Linked DNA regions of Schizosaccharomyces pombe. Changing the gene in region 1 together with any one later gene gives a genetic interaction. Each region holds a gene or a part of one and is shown on either strand. Other genes may lie near its edges.

Evidence for each region.
Region 2: of krp1 (region 1) and isp6, extra expression of one rescues a mutant of the other (dosage rescue), as found in Schizosaccharomyces pombe (one study listed by BioGRID).
Region 3: of krp1 (region 1) and pgp1, extra expression of one rescues a mutant of the other (dosage rescue), as found in Schizosaccharomyces pombe (one study listed by BioGRID).

What each region holds. Positions count from the first base shown.
Region 1 is NC_003424.3:5,031,548-5,039,631, forward strand, and holds krp1 (kexin), read right to left. Parts: upstream 5,034-8,084; 5' UTR 5,023-5,033; coding exon 2,893-5,022; 3' UTR 2,640-2,892; downstream 1-2,639. Other genes in the region: RanGAP Rna1, read left to right, coding at 237-1,397; RNA polymerase I upstream activation factor complex subunit Rrn10, read left to right, coding at 1,931-2,056, 2,109-2,276; etp1 (monooxygenase-ferredoxin fusion protein), read right to left, coding at 5,661-5,899, 5,945-7,556. UniProt on the Schizosaccharomyces pombe protein: Membrane-bound, subtilisin-like serine protease that processes the P-factor precursor and other precursor proteins. Essential for cell viability. Cleaves substrate on the C-terminal side of dibasic residues.
Region 2 is NC_003424.3:2,540,761-2,548,644, reverse strand, and holds isp6 (vacuolar serine protease Isp6), read right to left. Parts: upstream 3,804-7,884; 5' UTR 3,296-3,803; coding exon 1,892-3,295; 3' UTR 1,664-1,891; downstream 1-1,663. Other genes in the region: Myo3-like myosin II heavy chain myp2, read left to right, coding at 1-1,294; mitochondrial serine/threonine protein phosphatase PP2C catalytic subunit Ptc4, read left to right, coding at 6,207-7,358.
Region 3 is NC_003421.2:1,047,933-1,055,374, reverse strand, and holds pgp1 (metallopeptidase Pgp1), read right to left. Parts: upstream 3,506-7,442; 5' UTR 3,058-3,505; coding exon 2,894-3,057; exon of another isoform or gene 2,856-2,893; coding exon 2,546-2,855; exon of another isoform or gene 2,491-2,545; coding exon 1,726-2,490; 3' UTR 1,612-1,725; downstream 1-1,611. Other genes in the region: GTPase-activating protein Gyp2, read left to right, coding at 1-1,509; pyruvate dehydrogenase Pdx1, read left to right, coding at 3,662-3,734, 3,794-3,898, 3,940-3,984, 4,051-4,680, 4,729-4,960, 5,003-5,288; SPOM_SPCC1259.08 (uncharacterized protein), read right to left, coding at 5,588-6,772. UniProt on the Schizosaccharomyces pombe protein: Required for the formation of a threonylcarbamoyl group on adenosine at position 37 (t(6)A37) in mitochondrial tRNAs that read codons beginning with adenine.

The DNA.
Region 1 (8,084 bases):
AGAGATCGCATTTGAGTTTGTAAATAAAAACAGGTTGAGTAAAGGGGGTATCCGTCAAAAGAGGATAAATTTCGTTCTTCTTCTACTTTGAATATTATTTTAGTTTCTTTTTTAAAAGCCATGAATTCAAGTGACTGAAGCATCTATCCTCGATCAAATTTAACATACACAGCTAGTTCACACAATCTTTCCTCACCACCATACCTGCTATATTTTTTCTTTCAACAACCAACTCCATGTCGCGTTTTTCAATAGAAGGGAAGTCTTTGAAATTAGATGCAATTACAACTGAAGACGAGAAGTCTGTATTTGCTGTTCTGTTAGAAGATGATTCTGTAAAGGAAATTGTATTGTCTGGTAACACAATTGGAACCGAAGCTGCTAGATGGTTGTCAGAGAATATTGCCTCAAAAAAAGATTTAGAAATTGCAGAGTTTAGTGATATCTTTACTGGACGTGTCAAAGATGAAATTCCTGAGGCTTTACGTCTGTTGCTACAAGCTTTACTCAAGTGCCCAAAACTACATACTGTAAGATTGAGCGATAATGCCTTTGGCCCTACTGCACAGGAGCCCTTGATTGACTTTCTTTCAAAACACACACCTTTGGAGCATCTTTACCTACACAATAATGGACTCGGTCCTCAAGCTGGCGCAAAAATTGCTCGTGCCTTGCAAGAGCTGGCGGTCAACAAGAAAGCTAAAAATGCACCTCCCTTGCGTTCCATTATTTGTGGAAGAAATCGTTTAGAAAATGGGAGTATGAAAGAATGGGCTAAAACTTTCCAGAGCCACCGTTTGCTACATACAGTGAAAATGGTGCAAAATGGTATCCGTCCCGAAGGTATTGAACACTTATTGCTTGAAGGATTAGCATATTGCCAAGAGCTAAAGGTACTCGATCTTCAAGATAACACATTTACGCACTTGGGCTCTAGCGCTCTCGCTATCGCGTTGAAAAGCTGGCCCAACCTTCGAGAACTAGGCCTCAACGATTGTCTCTTATCTGCTCGCGGTGCTGCCGCAGTTGTAGATGCTTTTTCTAAATTAGAAAATATTGGGCTTCAAACGTTACGCTTACAGTATAACGAGATAGAGCTGGATGCTGTCCGGACCCTAAAAACTGTGATTGATGAGAAAATGCCGGATCTTTTATTCCTTGAATTAAATGGAAACAGATTTTCGGAAGAAGACGATGTTGTTGATGAAATACGTGAAGTCTTTAGCACCCGTGGTCGTGGTGAACTAGATGAGCTTGATGATATGGAGGAACTTACCGACGAGGAGGAGGAGGATGAAGAAGAAGAAGCTGAGTCTCAAAGCCCTGAGCCGGAGACTTCTGAAGAAGAAAAAGAAGACAAAGAACTTGCTGATGAGCTATCAAAAGCTCATATTTAGAGCAACTACTTTCCCTCTCGAACCCTGCTCCGCTGTTTCCGAAATTTTTTAACATATTTCTATTGTTCATGCTAGGCGGTAATGAACGATTGTGGTCAACGGATGGTCTATATCGACCATTCGATTTCCTTCTGCATTTTTATCAACATTCTGTCTTTTTACGCGGCAGGACCGATAAATAGTATTAGATTAAATCTGTATATGACAGAAAAAAAATTCCCCTTTCAAAAATGGCGAAAAGGTTCTTTACGTTTTATTAATAACCCACTTTAATTAAGTATTGGGTCAATATAATATGGTTTGGATTGTATCTGTGTAAAGTTGTTTTGTTGTTATGTCGTAAAGCCTGAACTATTTTTTCAGTATGTCTGTAAACCTCGAGATAAATTTTCTGTAAGTCGCAGTTAACTTTTAAGAATGTGGGGATTCCATTACTTGAGCTTGGTGTTTCCAAATATGATTGTACTACTGCAAGGACGAATTAGAAGCTTCACCTAGCATAGTACATACTCTACGTCCAACGCCATCTATTAATGTCAAATCCACCAACTCGGCCAACTTTGTATAATTTGGTGAATGCTGATGGTGAATTGTCTTACAGAGCTCGTGATTTAGTACAGGATTTTTCTGTTCCAATTCCACATGAACTGCCGGATCCTGTAAGTTCACAGCTTCTGCCAATACTTGTTTAACTAATCTTTTTATGTTTAGGATTTAGTTCATAGCATCCAGGATTTTGCAACAGAATACATGCTTGCGACAGGGAAAAAGTCATTCGAGTGTTTGGATGAAAGTGCTTTATTGGGGTTGGGATATTTGGTGACTGAATGGATGGATGCTATGGTTACTGATTGTTTGGAAGAATTTGAAGAAAGATGAATTATCCTTGTACATTTTACTTTTCATTCGTTTGTTTCGAGATGACTCCGTTACATTTGTATGACTAACTTTGATGATTTTTCTATATGGCGTAAAGTTGTTAAACAGCTATGAATGCGTATTTGTGTATTGAAATTTTTATCTTTTGATAATTGTTTAAAATCAACATTACAGATGTAATTACATTGCTTGACATGTATGCAGGCTGCTGAAAAGCGAGAAGCAACGATGCTGTTAAGATTTTAACAAGCTTTGCGATACATTAGCAAACATATTAGGACTTCAACTATTTTTTTTTTGCAAAGCCTTTACTATTAAATCCGAATACTGTTACCAGTGAATCGTAAAGACAATCACTTCAACTACCCAAAGCATAATCCAATATACATTTTATTACTTGGTATTTATACACGCTATCTAATGATTACACTTCAAAGGGGTCGAATTAAATACGTAGTCCATGCGTATTTATTAAAATGCAAAATTAAGAAATGCCAATTAGGTTGTTTCATATCGATGAATGAAACGAATGACAAGTGACATCTAAGAAGAGATCATACTTTAAAAAGTAGTCCATATTATTTTAAACAGAAGTGAAAAAACGAGTGTTAACTTTTCAAGCAATTTCTTGCTGAGACAATGGTGGGGGTGCTTTAGCTTTCCAAAATGCGGAAATCCATGTCCATATGACAGCAACGAAAATAAAGGCAAACAACAAAAAGAAAGTAATAAATGCAACAATTTCTCTATAAGAGGGTTCCAATACAGGTTGGGTAGGGGGTAGGACTGTAGGAATCGGTATATGAGACGTTGATGTAGGTGTAGCTGTGGCAGATACGGTGTAAGAAGTAAATGAAGTAGACGTAGGGCTCAACAAGGTACTTGAGTTAGTCAGATCGCTATTTGGTTCAGAGTATATTCCCAAGACCATCTCCTTTGGAAGCTCAAGAGTGTCATAAGGGAGTGGTGCAGTATTAGAAGGGTTTTCAGATTCTCCCCACAAAGCCAACTGCCAATTTTCAAACGTACCTTCATGCTTTCCACCACTTCGATCATTAACCAGTAACTTCCAAACCCCCTCTGGAGGTTCGGCCCAATGCTGCACAGTCATGAACGTCCAGTCTAAAAACCCCTTACTATTCTCATCATACGGTCGTTCACTGGCAAGGATTGAACGAATGCCGGAAGGGCTTTCCAAGAGAATCTCCAATGCTCCTCTTCGGTTAAAAGGTATACACACCCTAACAGTGACATGTTCTAATCTTTTGAAGTTGCTTTTCTCAATCATATCCTTAGTAACGGTAAATTCGCTTACCATTTCAGTTATTGTCTCATTGTTAACACTCCCGAATGATTTATTAACATTAATTTCTGGAGCAATGAGCCAGGTTTGTGGATTCACGACCTGCCAATCCTTAGCCACCTCGACGAACTTCGATGCATCCAATTTACCAAACCCAAAATGATGGGAGAACTGGAATCCTGCTGGAGTCTTTTGCCATTCTGCATTTTGAGAAGGGCTATCAAAAGGAGATGCTGAATACACTGTAATATGCTGAATGTCTCTCCAACTAAGGTCAGGACGAATCGAAAGCGCCAAAGCATATACAGCAGATGCTAACGGAGCAGCCGCTGAGGTACCACCATGACTTCTAGTACATGTGCCTTCAGGATTTGTAGTTAATATAGACAAATGTGAGCCACTACTATATGCTGAAACTAATTGCGCAGCACACACCTCACTGTAAAATGGGATTTTATGTTCAGCATCAACAGCACCAATGGTAGCACTGAATATGCTATTCGTGTAGCCATCAAAATTGCAATTATCATGATAATGGCCTCCATTTCCAGAAGCGAACACAAAAATCGACCCAAGACCATTTCGGCCATTAAGGACACCGTTCATCAACGCACGACGAGTAGCCGTATTAGGAGCATCCATTGCTCTTCCATCATCTGCAGGGCCCCAGGAACATGAATATATATGATTTGTTTGAAAGCCATAATTCAGTGCTTCCGATTCAACAGCATCAGTAATAGGGGCCGAAAGAATACGAAGTCCAGCGACCTTGGCGCGTGGAGCTATGCCTACGCCACAAACGTCGTTCCAAGCTGCAGCCACTTCTCCAGCACAACGGGTGCCGTGCTGATCATCTGATAACTTTGGCAAAGGGTCAGCAATGTTATCATTGAAGTCCCAAGAACCAAGCGAAGTGTAAGCAGCTTGCAAATCTGGATGTTTAAAATCAATTCCATCGTCTACAAATGCAACGGTAACATTCTCACCGAAGTAACCGGCGTCCCAGACTTCACGTAGATTCAGATCGTGTCCAGGATTATTCGAGTTGAATATGTGCCATTGGCCATAAAAGAGAGGATCCGAAATTCCAAAATGATTAGAGAACTCATTCAGTAATTCATCAGATTCACTCGCATCCCGCTTGTAGCGCCATCTGGGCGTCTGGCGCTCCAATTCCAAGATTCCGGCATCAATGCCTCGTTTTCGAATTGAACTTTGGACTGAATCATCGCTCCCCTTATGTAGCTTAATTAAATGGTGATACTTCAAATTTAATAAAGGGCGCACATACTTAGCACCAATGGCTTCTGCTGCTACTACAGGATCAACTTCAGGTTCCACTTGAACTAGAAATAAATCATCGTTTTCTAATGGAGAGCAAGAAGAAACCAAAAACTGTAAAAATATTGCAAGAATTGGCCCACATAGCAAAGCAGGATGCATGGTGCTGGGACGGTGTATGCACTAGGTGGCTTAACAGATTATGGTGTCCACTGTACCATAGTGGTGGCTATGTACAATAAAACAGCCATTCGACTAAAACACATATAAAGTGTAAAGCTGTCAGTATTTAAACTTTTCCAATTAAGAAATACATGGCAAAAGTGAGCAATTGCTAAACCGTGTGTCTACTATAATACCATGTTATATATTACATTTCATCAATACAGAAAAATAGAGCATCTACTTGTTAATCATGAAATAACTTTAAGCATTTAATAGTAAAAAAAATATAAACGACGATGAAAACATTAAAAGTATGAAATTTAGAAACCATCTTCATCCTGGTCTTAGTAATATTACAAGTTTTCATGATTAAGTGTAAGATTTGAAAACAAAGGGTTAATTTATAATTAAAACAACTGTAGTCTGGATAAAGAAGGAATATAGTTAAAATGTAAAACCATGTGCCAGGTTGACTATTTAATTAGTTATGTGCATTTATTAGCTAGGCATGAACTTGATCCAAAAAAAAAAAATGAAAGTTGAGAATACGGATGAGATAGTATACTTTCGGAAGAAAATACTTTTATGGAATACTAGTACGAGACACTTGTCAAATTGTAAGCATGTTGACAAAATCAAGCTTTTGGTCTCTCCAATCGTATGTTTCTAGTCTGAGCAGGAATTCGTACACGGATGCCATCCAAATCTTTTCTTAAGAGTACTTGGCATCCCAATCTGCTTGTTTCCTCAAGACCAAATGCTAAATCAAGCATGTCTTCTTCATCTTCTTCCGGGGGATCCAAAAGTTCGTAATGCTCTGGATCTACGATAACATGGCAAGTCGAACATGCAACAGACCCTTCACAAGCGCCTTCTAAATCGATATTGTTAGCATGAGCGAGATCTAAAATACTATCACCTTCATTTCCCTCAATCATGATTTCACGTCCTTCAGGCGTGACGAAAAAAACTTTGATTCCAGTGCCCGGCAAAGGCTTTTTAATTTCGGAATGGAATGATGGGCGGAATGTATGGAATTGGCGTTGTTGAGTCAAAATGGAAGATGAAATGCTACTTTTGGGAGGAGAAGAGATTAATTTTGTCCATGAGCGGATGTTTTTTAAAGCGTATTCTGGATGCAAGCGCTGAGCAAGTGATAAGGCCGCGGTTAATGTAACAAGACTACCGGCTTGATGAAGGGCTGCCAAAGGTACAGGGACAACATAGATTAGAGTCATAATACCCAAAGTAGCTTGAGCAGTTACAACGCCTGTAACAACGTTAATGCTAGTTTTAATCTTCTTAGGCAAAATGTTTCTTTTAGCACGGGAAAAAATAAAAAGACCACATGCAGCAACAAAAGTAGTAATAGCTAAGATACGGTGTTCGAGTTGAACAAGACTTGGGTTGTCAATCATGTTTCTCCATATAAGATCGGACTTGTCGTCTTTCCTACAAAACCTTTGATCAAATAACTCGCTTTTAGATGGAGCAAGTCTTCCTTCGCCCATTTCCGGGAAAGTACAATAAATCATTCCGGCATCCAATCCAGCAACAAAGGCACCGGACAAAAGGGTGATCAGTACCAAGCCAACAAATGAGTTAACACTAGTACGAAATCCTTTCATTTTCTGAACTGAAGAAACCATTGAAGTCAATTGAGATGTGGAGCCACTCTTCATAGATTTCAAAAAGGCATGTCGTTGAAGGATTCCATGCCCAGTCCACACCAAGCCAATATAGAGAGCAACGGCAGCGGCTAAATGAGTAGCCAAGCGATAATGACTAACACGCGGATGAGAACCATCACTGAAGAGCTCTTCTGAAAGACCACTCTTGACCATCCACCAACCGATGACTCCTTGAAGTCCAACGAGTCCCGTAAGGCCGATTAGTCGCTTGCTTAGCCAAGGAGATGCCCTTTTAGTCACAATCATGTATATGGAAGGAAGAAGGATTGTCAAGCCGATTCCTCTACCGAGGACACGATGAAACCACTCCCAGAAAAATATGTTTTTAAACTCATCCACTGTCATATGGCTGTTCAGCTTCTCAAACTCTGGTGATTTTTTGTAAAGCTCAAATTCTTGGTTCCATTGTTCATCAGTAAGAGGAGGAATTACGCCAGTGATGGGCTTCCATTCAGTAATACTTAACCCGGATTCAGTTAGTCTAGTAATGCCACCTACAACAACAATTGCAAGAACAAGAGCAGAAGATCCAAGCAGCCAAAAGGCGACCTTTTTACTCGGAATTTTTTCGGTTTCCTGTAGGATGCCACCTGGTGTAGGAGCGACTGAGTTACTCAGCCGGCGAGCAAAAAACTTTTCAAATGAATTTTTATTAAACTTACAATCATTCAAAAATAAATTCTTAGTCCGTGACAAATTAATTTCATTTAAAACACTCGATCCAGAGAAGCTCCTGCTCATTCTCCAACTTGACCTTCCAAGGCAAGAAATGTCGCAGCCTTTCCGTAAGGGCTGAAGCAGGAACTGTCTCATCAGACCTGATGAACGTGAAATGTTCATTGGTAATTGTTTACTTTTGTTTGCGTTTCGCTTAAAAAAGTAGGTTCATGGAGAGAGAGGAATGGTACCTAACCTCCCGGTTCTATACCACAATAATCTAACGGCGCACTTTCAGAGTCGCTATAAGTAGACAAGCTATATTAACGTAGGCCGTTTGATATATACAAGATCTGAGTGGATCGTCGATGAATAGTTTAATTTGATGCGACAATTCGCTGAAATCTGCACGTAGCATATTTGAATCGATGTTTATATTTATGATACTTAATACTCAAAATGTACTAGCTTCATTTGCGTATCCAAAAAGTTATTTAATCTAGTACATGTCGCATACGGAAATAGCTGACATCTTAAATAGTTAGTTCTTATAATCTTACGAACCGAAACTTCTATATGACAAACATAAATCATTTAACTGCTATAAATTAATATTATTATATTGTACAATGTTCTAAACGTGCAAATTAGGAACAGAAAAATGCAACGACTGAGGGTTCGTTGCTCTGAATCAAAAGAAACTAAAAAAAA
Region 2 (7,884 bases), 2.5 Mb from region 1:
ATTTCAAACAACAAATGCTGATCTGCAAAACGAACTGGCAGATGCTGTCGTGAAACAAAAGGAGTATGAAGTTCTTTACGTTGAAAAGAGCAACGATTATAATACTTTGCTGCTGCAAAAAGAAAAACTGATGAAACAAATTGATGAGTTTCATGTCATTCGTGTTCAAGATCTCGAGGAACGAGAAAAGAAGGATCAACTACTCTTTCAACGTTATCAAAAGGAGCTAAATGGTTTCAAAGTACAGTTGGAAGAAGAACGTGAGAAGAACTTGCGCATTAGACAAGATAATCGGCACATGCATGCGGAAATTGGTGATATCCGTACCAAATTTGACGAATTAGTTTTGGAAAAGACAAATTTGTTAAAAGAAAATTCAATACTTCAAGCAGACTTACAATCTCTTTCTCGTGTCAATAATTCTTCCTCAACAGCGCAACAAAATGCCCAAAGCCAACTTCTTTCTTTGACTGCACAACTCCAAGAAGTACGAGAAGCAAACCAGACATTAAGAAAAGATCAAGATACCCTTTTAAGAGAAAATCGAAACCTTGAGCGAAAACTTCACGAAGTTTCAGAGCAATTGAACAAAAAATTCGATAGTTCTGCAAGACCTTTTGATGAAATTGAAATGGAGAAAGAGGTATTAACACTCAAGAGTAACCTTGCTCAAAAAGATGACTTACTATCATCATTAGTTGAACGCATAAAACAGATCGAAATGTTTGCGCTAAAAACTCAAAAAGATAGTAATAATCATCGAGAAGAAAATCTTCAACTGCATCGTCAACTCGGAGTTTTACAAAAGGAGAAAAAGGATTTGGAGCTCAAATTGTTTGATTTAGATCTTAAAACTTATCCCATATCAACATCAAAGGACGTCCGAATGCTACAAAAGCAAATATCAGATTTGGAAGCATCGTTTGCTGCTTCCGACATCGAACGAATTAAAGGAATTGATGAATGTCGCAATCGCGATAGGACTATCCGTCAACTGGAAGCTCAAATATCAAAATTTGATGATGATAAAAAGAGAATACAGAGCTCAGTTTCTCGTTTGGAGGAAAGAAATGCGCAACTGAGAAATCAATTAGAAGATGTGCAAGCTTCAGAAACACAATGGAAATTTGCACTACGTCGGACGGAACATGCTCTTCAAGAAGAGCGTGAACGCGTCAAAAGTTTGGAAACCGATTTTGATAAATATAGATCTTTGCTGGAGGGTCAAAGAGTAAAGAGAAGTGAAAGTAGATTATCCATGAGGTCCAATCGTTCGCCTAGCGTTCTAAGGTAGCCAAGCTTCCCAAAGACTCGACATGTATTTTTTAAGATGATGTAAATTATTAGTTCATGAATTTAAAATTATTTTATTATTACTATTATTATGCTCTGCGTCAACGTAACAAGTAACCACAAGGATACTTTAGTTCAAAAAAAAAAGTAAGTCGGTCAAGTAAAAGGCATTTTAGTTCGGTTTACTTTTTATTTTACCCCTATTATTTGTACAATGGTTATATGCAGCAATCACATTGTAAAAGAAAACTATGAAGAGATAGGCGGCGATATTAAATGTAGAAGAGCTCTTGCATAACAGCGGCACAAATATAAATACAAATACAAATAAAAGAAGAGGACATTTACAATTACACTTTAACATTGTAAGTTGGAAGAACATCACAAAAAAATTTCATTCAAGTATAAAAATTCTAAACGTGATTCAGTGGCTTGCATTATAAAATATTTATTGTCATAACAATCATTATAAACTGTTTGTAAAGAACAATCATAAAAGGAGCAAACGTTTTCAAAAAAATAAAACAATTACTCGATGTATTGAAAATCAAACACCGACTTATTGAAAACATCGAATGCATCCAACATGAAGTAAAATCTATTCTTGAGCACCATTGAAAGCGAGAAGGTTAATAGTGCTGCTACCAACAGGAATAGACAAGAGTACATCGTGAATACCCATCTTAATGATAGCATCTTTAACTTCGCTAGCGCTGGCAGCAGGGTGTAGGCCAAGGTAGTAAGCGGACAAACCTGCAACATGAGGGGTTGCCATAGAAGTACCAGAGATGGTGTTAGTACTAGTATTTGAACCGATCCATGTAGACAAAATGTTAAGTCCAGGAGCGAAGATGTCAACACAGCTACCATAGTTAGAGAAGTAGGCCATTTGGTCGTTTATAGTGGAAGCGCCAACGGTGATGGCTTTCTTAGAAGCAGCAGGAGATGAATAGCAAGCGTCATCATACTCATTTCCAGCAGCAACGGCATAAATAACACCGTTGGTAACGGCAGAATCAACAGCCATATCCAAAACAAAGCTGTTGCCGCCACCAAGAGACATGTTGCCAACAGAGGTTTTCTTGCCGGACGATTTGTGATGACGAACAGTCCACTCAACACCGGCAATCACATCAGCCATGGTACCAGATCCACTGGAACGGAGAACCTTGACAGCAACGATTTCAGCCTTCTTTGCAACACCATAAGCACGGCTAGCAATGGTACCAGCAACATGCGTACCATGACCATTGTTATCCTCATCAACATCACCAGAGGGAATGGTTGCACCCCAAGAAGCGCGACCTTCGAACTCAACATGATGAATGCTTACACCGGTATCTACAACATAAGCGGTGATGTTGTCACCAGCGCTGGAATCGTAAACATATTTGCCAATATCATCGTATTTGACGGATTTGTGAGAGATGCGAGCAAGTCCCCAAGGAGCGCCACTTTGAGTTTCAAGTTTCTTAATGCTGACAACTTGATCACGCTCGACGGCGATGACATGAGGATGCAAGCGAATTTGCTCAACAATGTTAGAGCTGAATTGACCAGAATAACCTTTGAAAGAGTCCTCGCCAAAGTCATAAACATGCTTCAAGCCAAACATGTAATTACTATCACTAGTATCGTAGTACTCATCTTCTTGAGAAGCAATGTCCATTTGGTGCATCTCCGAGACCCAATTAGTATGGGCTTGGAATTCTTGTTCGCTCAAATCAGGCTGCAAAACAATGATATAGTGAGAGTCCAGTCCAGTGGTATCGGCGTTGGAAGCAGACAAGAGAGGAGCGGCATTAGGACCAGCATGAGGTTTGTGCTTAGGGGTAGCGGCTTCGCCGTGGGAGTCGTAGAAAGCGTTATCGAGCTCAGGACGGATACCAGCATGGGCAATGTCCGAATCAGTCGCTGGCATCACTGGTGCAGCACAGGCAGTAGAAGCGAAGAGGGCCAAACCTGCGGCGGCAGAAAAAAGATTTGAATAAGGAATTCTCATGTTGATGCTGAGAAGACGAGGCTGTTGGAGGGGGAAGTGATTGTGATTGTGGTTGGGGTAGTGATTGAAGGCGGTTAAATTGCTGAGATTGCTGAACAGTAGGCAAGTATCGTTGTTCCGTGTTTACTTATGAAAGAAAGACAAGGAAAACAGATGACAAAGACTATTGAAAAACTAACTATCTATCCCAAGTTCAGATAGGAAGAAATCGAGAGAGATGAATAAAAGAAAAAAAAAAAGAATTGTGGGCTATATACAAACTATAGTAAGTAGTATATGGGCGAACAATGGGATTAAGAGTTATTATAAAGAAAGGGAGAAAGAAACTATAATAATTCTCTAACAATTACTTTAATAAAATAAAAAATTGCAAGCAAATGAAAAACACAAAGCGAAAAAAAACGACTGTGAATGAAACAAAATCAAAACTAGTGGCACTGGTAAATTCAATTCCAATGCAACTTGTTCTAAGACGTTTGACTTTGTAACGAGGAGCGTACTGATACACGACTCAATGGGGGCTACCTCTTTCGTTTATATAGTCTATCCACCACCCGTACCCTAACCCTCGAACATCAACAAAGGGAGTTTGGACAGATAGAAGCAGAGATTCCGTAAAAAAGCAGGCAAAACTCAATTCCAAATCCATTCAATTCAATTGTAATATAATTTTTTTTAAAAAAATTCTGTTCATTTACTTCTCTGCTTTCTCCCTTGATTATTCGTCAAATGCCACTGTTCTGCATGCATCGCTGTATTAGCACTTTCTCAAGCGCGCCCTCCCTTTCGCAATTCGTTACTTGGCTGACTTAACGAGTCACGATATGTTCACTTGACGTCACCCCTCTAATCTAGCGATACGAGGTGGTTAGTGGAGGAACGGTGATCCATTGCCTGTGATTGGTCGATAAGCTCAAACAAGTGGTTCTTAGATAAACTTTGAAAGGCCGGATTGGTAAGGGCCACTCAACTGCCACTCTGTTCGGTACATTGAATGATAACGCTTCATGCGCATTGCGCTGCTTAGGGCAGAAAAAAGAGCAATTCAAAGATATGGAGGAACGGAAGCCGATTCACTGATAACTTGGTAATCCACGGATACACACATTGATCGGGACATACATAAAAAAAGAGGTTTGCAAAATTTCCAAATGTATGGAAGCAACAGCATATCCATATTCAACAATATGCACTCAATGTCATTTCATTTTCAGAAAGGTTTATTCTTTCCTTTCATGACTAGTATTCATTCTACACAAACAGTAAACTGAAACGAAAACAAATAAATTATAAAACACTAGCACAATTGAATGAACATGACTCTCGGTGTTCAGCTAACGCCCACTCATGTAAACAAGTGCTTGATGAAAAACATCCATCCATCCATCCATCCCCTGATAAGTGTTTGCTACATTACAACAGCCATTCTATCTTTATCAACAAATTGGTTGGAGACATTTATTTTAGAGGAGAGAAGATTGAGAGATTGTGTGTGCGTAAACAGTTAATTACCGATGCATCGTATTTCGGTTATTGTATATAAGAAAGAGTTGCTAGATGAAGCAATGAGGGACTTTAAAATTCCCCATTTTCACTATAAAATCCATTTCTTCTTTTCTATGAAACTTTACTTATTTGTATATTCTTATATAAATTGTTAAAGAAACAGCCTGTGGAGTGAGATCGAGCGAGTATTCGTAGCAATCGCTGGCTCTTTCCTATGTAACTTTTCTTCTATGCAGCCATGAAATTTAATGCAGTACAAGGGATTTAATCAAAGAGTTTTAATGATGAACAGAATGCGTGGATGGCATTTGCATTTCTTTGTATACGAACAAACAACATGTGACAACATTGACAATGTTTGAGATTCCCACAGTAAGAGAGATTGGGCGCTGTGTTGAAGCTCTTTCATCAATGCGCTCTCATTCCAGGTGTCGTTTGGACTAGACCATCACTAATAGTTCAACAAGTTGAAACAATTAGCAAACAATACAGAGAACAATGGCGTTATATTGGAACAAATGAATGACGGTTCTGTATTTTGGTGGCGCCGTACACCCAGCAATTTTGAATTTGGGAGCTTTTGTATATATTTCGTTATAAGTACTTGGTACTTTGGAAACGAAACAATCTCTAATCGCTAAATATCTTGCCATCATCGGAGCTGTTGCACTTATCACTTTATTCAAGCAGCGCTTATTAGGAATAAACTAAAGAGTAACATAGTCAGATTTCTCTGATGGTTGGATTGAATTGAATTGAATTGTCGTCGATAAGCTATATACTCCATCTGTTTTGCTCTAACAAAGCAATATAATCTAGAGTGCTAATGTGCTATAGTGAAAAAATAAGATAGAAAAGTAAAAAACATATTTGGATAGGAAAAATGAAAGTGGTTGGTAGAATCCACCCCCTCAAACCAACCAAAAAAAATTGAAATATTAACGAAAATGAAATAAAGACATGCTCATCAAACGAACTATCCCTACAATGCTCACAGCCTTCCTTTCATTACATATCTTCCTTAACTTCTTTTATCGTGCTTTAACGCATTTGTTTGCATAGTATTACAGGGTTCGTTTTAACACACTATATGCTTTACACCGCTTGTATAGAATCGTGTAAGACTTTCTCCTTGTTGGTGTATGCTGAACTCTTTTTAAAATCCCCTGTTATTTGGTATTTCGAGTTAGCCTTAAACTGGAAATTTACCTCGGCTTTCAAGCAAAGCGTCTGGAAGCTTCAATATCTGTAGGAAAGAAAACTTTCTTTCCTCTAATCCTTTGATCATTAATCTTTTTTTAGCAAAATTTACTAGAAATTACCGGTTTCTTGCACGGTTTGTTTTGCACGCCGCGAAGTTACCATCTCAAGCGATTCACGTTTGAGAATCCTTCTCCATTAATACATGTCGATCCGTTTTCTTAAACGTTTACGGGCACCTCTATATATTCAAAATGCCTATTGCTCAAAAAACTATTTCTATCGATCCTTTATTCAGTATTATAGTCCCTCCAATGGTCCCTACCTGAAGATAAGTATGAACAAAGCACCTCAGAGTCTTGGATTATGTACCGCTAGAGGAGATTCGCCGACAAATCAAGACCGTATGGCTTACGGCTACTTAAATAACCTAAAAGATACTACTAACAGAGATAGTCCTTTTTTCTACGGGCTTTTCGACGGTCACGGAGGTACTGAGTGTAGTGAGTTTCTTTCCACCAACTTGGGGAAGATTATTGAAAATCAAGATTTAAATGATACAGAGAAAATCCTGAAGGAAGTCCATTCCGTGGGTGGATACATGGCGGGTCTAAAGCCTCCATTTTCTTTGCGCACTGTTCTTCAATCTAGGGACGAAGATCTGCTTTGGAGGGCGAGGCTATATTATTCATTTTTACAAGCGGACATGGATTATTTAACTAACTATGCCCGGCCATCGCCTGACAGTGCTGTACCCGGCGCAGTCGGTACCGTGGCTATAATAACTTCAAAAAATAATCTCTCATATTGGGAAAGCGATAGTTACATTATTCACCTTGCTCATGTCGGCGATACAAGAGCTTTATTGTGTGATTCTCGGACTGGAAGGGCCCATCGTTTAACATTCCAACATCATCCAGCTGATGTCGAGGAAGCACGTCGGCTACGACGTTACAACATGGGTTTTTCAAGAGACTCATTTGGACAGAAAAGATTCGCTTGGGTCGCTAACACCCGTAGTTTTGGAGACGGATATAAACTCAAAAAATTAGGTGTTGTTGCCGAACCTCAATTGACTTCTATTCATTCACTAAGAGATGACTGGTCGTTTTTAACTCTTCTTTCGGACGGTATTACAGATGTCGTATCGGATGATGAAGTTGTCGATATAATAAAACTGTCTGAGTCCCCTCAAGATGCTGCGAATAATATCATTCGTTACGCTCAAAACGTTGGTGCTGTGGACGATATCACCTGTCTTGTTGTTCGTCTTCCAGGGTGGAAAAAACGCACTATTAATGACTTTACAAAGAATTTACGTTTGGAAAAGTCTGCTTATCATCCCAGAAGAAGTTGAACATCAAGTCTTCATAAAAACTAAGCCTTCAATTTAAGAATTTCTCTTTCTTTAATCCGTTTAGATAATGCTTAATATTGTTTATGTCATACGTTTTTGGCATGTTTCAATGTTCTCATTTTTGTTCTCATTTTGTCCCCATTTTAATGCATTTATAATCGATTAAACCTATAATATGTTGATTCAAGTATTTAATTACTTTTGCGGTTTCTTAAGTACGCTTTTAAGAATGACATATCCGTATATTTGTTTTATATTCAGAAAACTTTTGGGCGTTCAGAAGCTATTTCTGAATATTATATGGTTATTTTATTTTCTCCTCAATTTAGATTGTTTAACATTTTGGAATCATTAGTGCTTGACACTCTTCGTCTATCTTTGGTTAACCTATTATTCGAACACATTAGTATATGTTATATTTCTGCACTCTTAATGAATTCATATAGTGTATCAAGCCTATTCACACTATCCTCTAAATAGCATGTTACCTAGTAGAGTTGAGTATTTTACAACTTTGTGCTAAAGT
Region 3 (7,442 bases), on another chromosome or scaffold:
AACAATTTACGAGCAGACATTTGGGAAACATGCTCTGGTAGCTTGTTTCCAAGATGGAAATCTAAAGGATTTTACGCAAAGAACATTGATAGCGTTATTAACAACCGTTGTGAATATAGTGAGGAAATCGAAAAGGACTTGACACGAAGTCTTCCTGATTATCCTGCTTATCAATCACCTACGGGCATTAATACATTGAGAAGAATCCTTCTGTTTTATTCTGAGACCAATAAAGAGGTTGGTTATTGTCAGGCTATGAACATTGTGCTTGCTGCTTTGCTGGTTTATTGCACAGAAGAGCAAGCATACTTTCTTTTTTCTCAACTATGTGAGTTTTATATTCCTGGGTATTACGCTAAGATAATACATGGGCTATTACTGGATTTAACGGTATTTGAGTATGTTTTAGAACATACGCTTCCTCACTTATATCAGAAAATTATTGAGCTAGATATGGATTTGAAGCTTATTACAATCAACTGGTTCTTTTCGTTGTTCATAAAAGACTTTAGGTTAGATTATGCTTTCAGGATATTAGACTGTCTATTCGTTAACGGTCCACGTGTTCTTTTTCAAGTGGCTTTAGCTCTGTTCAAAGTAAATGCCCAAGGGATTTTAAATGCGACAGACGATTCTTCTGTTATGAAAGTGTTTCGTCAATGTTTTGATCATATCAACCAAGGAACAGCTGCCGATGAAAAGATGGCTGCTTTAGGTAGTAGATCTTCTATGTGTACCCTTCCACAGTTATTTGCTGTCGCTTTTGAGTACTTTGATTTTATTACCGATAGTTTTGTGTCTGCCAAAAGAAAAGAATTCAAGAGTAGTGTGCTCTATTCTTTACGATGTTTTACCAAGCGATCACACTTACGAAGCGTATACCAAACTACCTTATTATCGAACACTGATTTAGATTTGGTATATGATGCGTTCATTAATGCCATTGGGGAAAATAATATTTGTCACGGCGACGTCTTAGAACAAAAGATTGATTTCAATGGATTTGAAAGGCTTGTCGATTGTGCAGCCCCACCTTTAAGTGTGATTCGTGAACCTTTGCATTATCAACGTAGTAAGCGGAAACTTTTTACCAGATTATATATTTGGATGAAAGACGGTGATTCTACTGAAACATCTTTAACTTTCAAAAGAATCATTCATGGTTTGGAACGGTTGAAAGCAGATATAGCACTGCATTCTGAAATCTTGTGTTTTCAGTTGTACGATTTGAAAAGAGATGGCACACTTAGGACGGAAGAAGTTGTCGAACTTTCAGAATCGTTAATTCTGCTTTGCTGTTATGAAGGAGATGAAAAGGACGAAGAGCGGCTAACCGTTATAAGCGAGTTTTTAAAAAGCTGTTTTAGTGGTTGTCAGGACCGACGTAGTTTTCAGATCACTATGGAAGATTTTCAAGCAATAGTGGATACCACTGGACTTCACGCAACTCTTGAATTCTTTCTCAAAAAATTAATCGATGGTCTGTTGGGGAAATTAAATGCTAGCTAATAAGCATTTGCTTGATTATCAATGGTGACACTCAATTTCGAAACCTGTCTTTGTTAACTAATCACAATTTTCCTGCTAATGACAGGAACCCGAAATTTCTTTCTCTTACTTTATGTCGTACAACATATTCACCCTATTTTTTGTTGGCATAGAAAATTTTTACATTCATTATGCATTCATTGTTCCATAGTACAAACTATTATTAATTTCTAATATTTATACTTTTTTATTTTTTTTTGTAAGCCAACCTTCAACGGTTAAAATCTGATTGATGGGCCATTTTCTTATGGGCTCAACATCAAATGAAGATGTATAACCTGCTTTGAACATTTGAATAGCAGTATAGCCTATCATGGCAGCATTATCACTGCATATATCTGGACTTGGGTACACCAATTTGATGTCTGTAGGTTGATGTTCAAACTGCAATACCATTAAAGTATCATTCAGCATCTTTTTCAACAATTCGTTTCTAGCGACACCACCACTGCATACAAGGTACTTAACTTTCGATAAATCCAGTCGTTTCAACGCTAGCAACGTTTTTTGACATATATGTTGAAAAGCAGCATATTGAAGTTGATAGGCAAAAAACTTTTTTTCACTTAGATTTAAAGGCGTCTTCCTTATTATTCGACAGGCGTACGACTCCAAGCCTGAAAAAGAGAAGCTCGCGCTATGCACCTTTTCTCTAGTATTCAGTGGGATTGGCGGTTTTAATGAATAACTAGTACTATTTATTTCAGGAGAAGCAAACTGTTCAAGAGCAGCAGCAGGCATTTCATTGTCCCAAGGAATACCCAAATACTTTGCACATTTGTCCAGATAATCGCCTACAGCAATATCACTGGTTGTGACAATAATCTCGTGATTTAACAGAGAATTGGAATACACTAGCATAGTGTGTCCACCTGAGACAAGAATATTAAGATATGGGAAATCAATAGACTTTTCTAGTTGCACTGCAAGGGCATGTGCTTGCTACAAACTCTTCATTAACAATCTTACAAGCTCAACTTAGGAATTCGTTACTTACCATGTGATGAACCGCAAGTAAAGGTTTTTGAAGGCCAACCGCGAGGCCTTTGGCTGTATTTAAACCCACAGCAAGGGGACCAATCATTCCTGGGCCTCTTGTGACAGCAATAAGGTCAAAATCAGTAATACCACTACGCGCGGCATCTGAGATAGTCCTTTGGATTACTTTCGCTAAATTCTTTTGATGCTCATGAATAACTATGGTAGGATGGATACCACCATAAGCCTCGTATTTTGAAATTGTCCGGTGTGTATTTAAGCAAATGATCTCGTTTTGGCAATGTGATGATGAATCTGAGGTTCGAACGCTATAATAAATTAGTGAGGATATGTGAAATATACGTACACAGAAACCGATGTATCATCACAAGACGTCTCGATAGCTAAGGCTGTAAGTGTTCGATAGGATAGAAAAGTTTTAGAGATGTTCCAACAGCGAAACTGTTGTAAAACTTTTAAAGAAATTCGACGTTGCTTGCACAAAATAGAATTATATACCAGACAAAGCATTTATATAACTTCACTTCAAATTTGAGATATGTCTGTTGGCCAGAAAAGGAAAGTGTATAATATTTAAAAAAATAACAAATTGTCTAACACCCTGTAATTAAAGTCATCAACTTGATAATGAGTTCGGTGTTAGATCCGAACTTAAAAAATTTCAAAGTTTTATAGGTTTGTTGCGTATGTAAGATGTTCGTTTTATGATTGCAAGCGAAAAAGAGTAAATAAAAAATCAAAACATCACTTTTACGTGAGAGCTAAGACGTTGAATTTAACAAAAAGTTTAGGAAATAAGAGCAGTAGGAGGAAGCCAAGTCTCTCGAAAACTATATATCATCGGTAGCGTTTACCCTCCCAAAATACTTATCTAGTAGTAACTTAAAAACCGATTAATGTTGAAATTGAAAGCAATTCACAAATTTAGGGGGTCATTATGCTAGCCCTTATGTTTGGTGAGCGCTGGGAACACTAACAGATCAGATATAGATCTCCTTCGCTGCTAGCACAGCACCTGATCTTTTCCCAACATCATATTTCGAAAGTTTGCTCAATATCAAGTCAACTCTTTATATTTTTGTTTGCTAAATTTTTGTAAACTTCAGGGGAAACGATGTTGAAGCATTACATTCACCAATGTGTGAAAGCGAGTTCATGCAAACATTCGCTTTCCGTTAAACAAAGATGTGAGTACTAGTGTTTTTTTTTATTGAAATAACGAAGTTAACAGAATAATTTTTTGTAGATTTCCATTGTTCTGCTCTTAATGGAGTTGCAAGCATGTTTCGTATGCCTGCACTTTCTCCTACTATGGAGGAAGGAAACATTACTAAATGGCATTTTAAAGAAGGTTGGTATATTGAGATTTCCTAAATCTAATTCTTTACGTAGGTGATTCGTTTAAAAGTGGTGATATACTTTTGGAAGTTGAGACTGGTATGTATGAAAAATGATAGACTAATAATCTTAAACATCCATGACTTTGAACTAACGGTATTTTAGATAAAGCGACAATGGATGTTGAAGTGCAAGATAATGGAATACTTGCTAAAGTCTTAATCGAAAAAGGATCGAATATCCCTGTTGGTAAAAATATTGCCATCGTTGCTGATGCAGAAGATAATTTGAAAGACTTGGAATTACCTAAGGATGAAGCGTCCTCAGAAGAGCAATCTTTCTCCTCTTCTAAGGAAGAGGTAAAGCCTATTGTTCAAGATCGCGAAACAAAAAGTAATGTGGAACACAAATCGACTTCTCAAGCGAACGATGCTGTTAACAAATCGTTTCTTCCTTCCGTTAGCTATTTGATTCATCAATATAAAATCGAAAACCCGTGGTCTATTCCTGCTACAGGCCCTCATGGTCGCCTTCTCAAAGGAGATGTATTAGCACACGTCGGAAAAATTGATAAAGGGGTTCCTTCATCTCTTCAAAAATTTGTTCGTAATCTCGAGGTTTTGGATTTTTCTGGCGTTGAGCCTAAAAAACCATCGTACACTGAAGACAGCGTTCCCGTTAGGAAATCAACGATGATAGAAACTTTAAAAACTGTTCCGATGAAAGATGAATATATCACTTTTGAGAGATCTATTTCACTAGAAAAGTTAAAATCTTTGCTAGCTAAAAGAAAAGGTATTGTAATGTCCTTTTATTATATTTTATTGCTAATATCTTTTTCAGAAAAAGATGCATTTGGTATTGATGAAGTCGTCTCAGCAATGATTGGTGATGCTCTTTCTATATCTGAATTGTCGAAAGTTGAACCTAACTCAATTGAATCTGCTTACGATTTACTTCTAGGCGCTCCAATCGTAAAATTAAAGTCTTCGGTTTCAAATTTTCAACCTAAGCTATTCCCAAAAAACAATAACACTAAAGATTTACACAAATACATTCGTGATTCTATGATAGGGTAAGACTTTTCATTGCGATTGCTCTGATATTAACCGTACAGTTTACCTAGCAATTTAAGCGACTATGTAAAGCTGAACTTCAGTTCTGTGACAAAAAGCTCTTCTAATAACGTTGAATTTTTGGATGATGTTTATGATATGCTGCTGGGTAGCAACAGCGATAGTATCGATTCCAGAATAAATCGTCACGAGGAGCCATCTACTACTGAGGATTTGACCCTGACATTGTCCATCAAGGACAACATCAGCAAAAGCCGTGCAATTAAGTTTGTAGATTGCCTTAAGAGCAATTTTGAGAATCCAGAATTTGTCTTATCGCGCTGGTGATCGTATCACAATTGGGATCTTAGTTTTATTTAACACTGTGTACTTTTTATGTGTAAAATAGTTTATTAATATACATATTTTCTGTTAATACTCGATAACTGGTTGGAATAATATGTTATTTTTTAACAAGTATAACAAACAAATGATAACGTAACGAATGGATAATGCTACAAAGCATAATGAAACTCATGAAGAAAATGCGCACATAACAACAACCTTAGATGACTAAATGCGACTAAACTTTACTATTCCATTTATTAATGTACAAGAACGGATAATTATCCAATTTTTTCTTTGGTTTAAACACGATGTGCGCCGACTGCTTTACGAGCAATGTCAAGAGGTGGTGACTTGCTATTGCGCAAAACTTCAGAAGACACATGTGCGGAAAATGAAGACTTGTAATTCCATTTGGCTTTAGCTTTAAAACGGGCCTCCTCTTTAGAAAGAGAGCCAACTGTAGAACTTGCATGACCATCATCTTCTGGTTCCGAATCAGGAAACGTTGGATCTATATCCTGGGGCAACATTATTGATCTCTTAGAGTTCGCGTGCGTTAAGGAACAAGCAAAAGCTAAACATGCAGGTTGATCTTCGTCAAATGTACCAGGAACGAAATCCGTATCATCGGGAATTTGACTTTCATTTGGAGCAGCAGCTGTTTGGACTGGTGTAGAAGGACAACGAAGAGGAGAATCCTCATCATCGGATAAGGAAGATTCGGAAAGCTCAACATCTGAATCTTCCTCATCCTCCTCATCAGCGGATCCCTCTTCATCTTCCTCATCATCGCTGATTTGAGAAACGCGATCGGATTCAGAGGAGCAACTTTGCTTTTCAATGTTTGGTTTCGGGGAACCACGATAACGAGAGTTACTGATTGTTTGCATTTTACGAGAAAATGAGTTGAAACTTTCAATCTCCTCATCATCGACTTCATCTTCTTCATCAGAATCGTTAAACTTCAACTCATTGTCCTTTTTCAATACATCCTCTAAAACACCTTTGCAAGTAGTAGCAATAGTTCTCCTAGGTGACTGTGGGACAAGATTCCCTTTACGGGAAGGAGTATTAGCAAGTGCAAAAGACACTTTTGCTGGTCTCTTTAGTCCGCCTGTCGGAGAAGCAAGAGGACTGCAGAGTCTACTGTCATTCTCCTTCAGTCGGGTGCTTGGAATTGGACTTCTAGAAAGGCAATGAACAGACTGGCGTTTTCGGGCATTTGAAACGATGCAAGACGATTGACGAGAGCCATTAGCTTTCATGGAGGTAACTTCATCTTTTGGTTTTGTAGGTAACACTGCAAACGTAACTCGGCCCTGACTGACGGTCGACATACGCGGAGACTGCTCATGGGTCGGACCAATACAAAATTGTACAGCCGTGCGTTTAGCAGACGGAATTTTCTCGTGAGAAGGGATGTCAGTAGTAGCCAAGTCGCCGTTGCCTTTGTAATGCAAAAGTATACTAAGTAACCCAGTCATCGATGGATGCCTTAATAAAAATAAGAAAATAGATGGTTTGATTTAGTGCAATTGTAAGGATAGTATCCAGACGATCAAGCAATAGCAAAGAAGACAAAAGCAGATTGTATAATCTTTTATGATAACGTCTAAAGTAGAGACTTTTAACGAAAGCTGTAATGTATGTAACTGAGCTAGTTAAATGTGTTCGCTGAAAGGAAAGATGAGTTGAACTTTCAAAATCGCACAGTTAAGATAGAAAAAAATCAACTTAAAATGAAGTCAATCGATCAATAAGTGATAAACAACGAGAGGCTCAAGTTTTTAAGAAGTATAAATAAAAAATTATGAGAGGTACAAACGAAAAGTCACTTGGACAGCAGTGAGTAAGTAAGACGAGCGTCGCAAAAATCAAGTTTTAAAAAAATACTATAAGTCGATAAAAGAATTACTTGTTGAACCTATAACGACACGAAAGAAGATATTCACGTGAATTTGTTAAAGAGAATACATGATTTCCAAAAATATTCTCAAATAGTCTTCACAATAAAATATATATATGATCGTTTTTCTTCTTTTTGAAAATAGAGCAAAAGCAAAACTGAGTTAAAATCGCCAACAACAATTTCTCAGTACTTTGAATGACTTTACCAACGTAATAAAAGAAATCACGGTGATTTTGACGACCTTG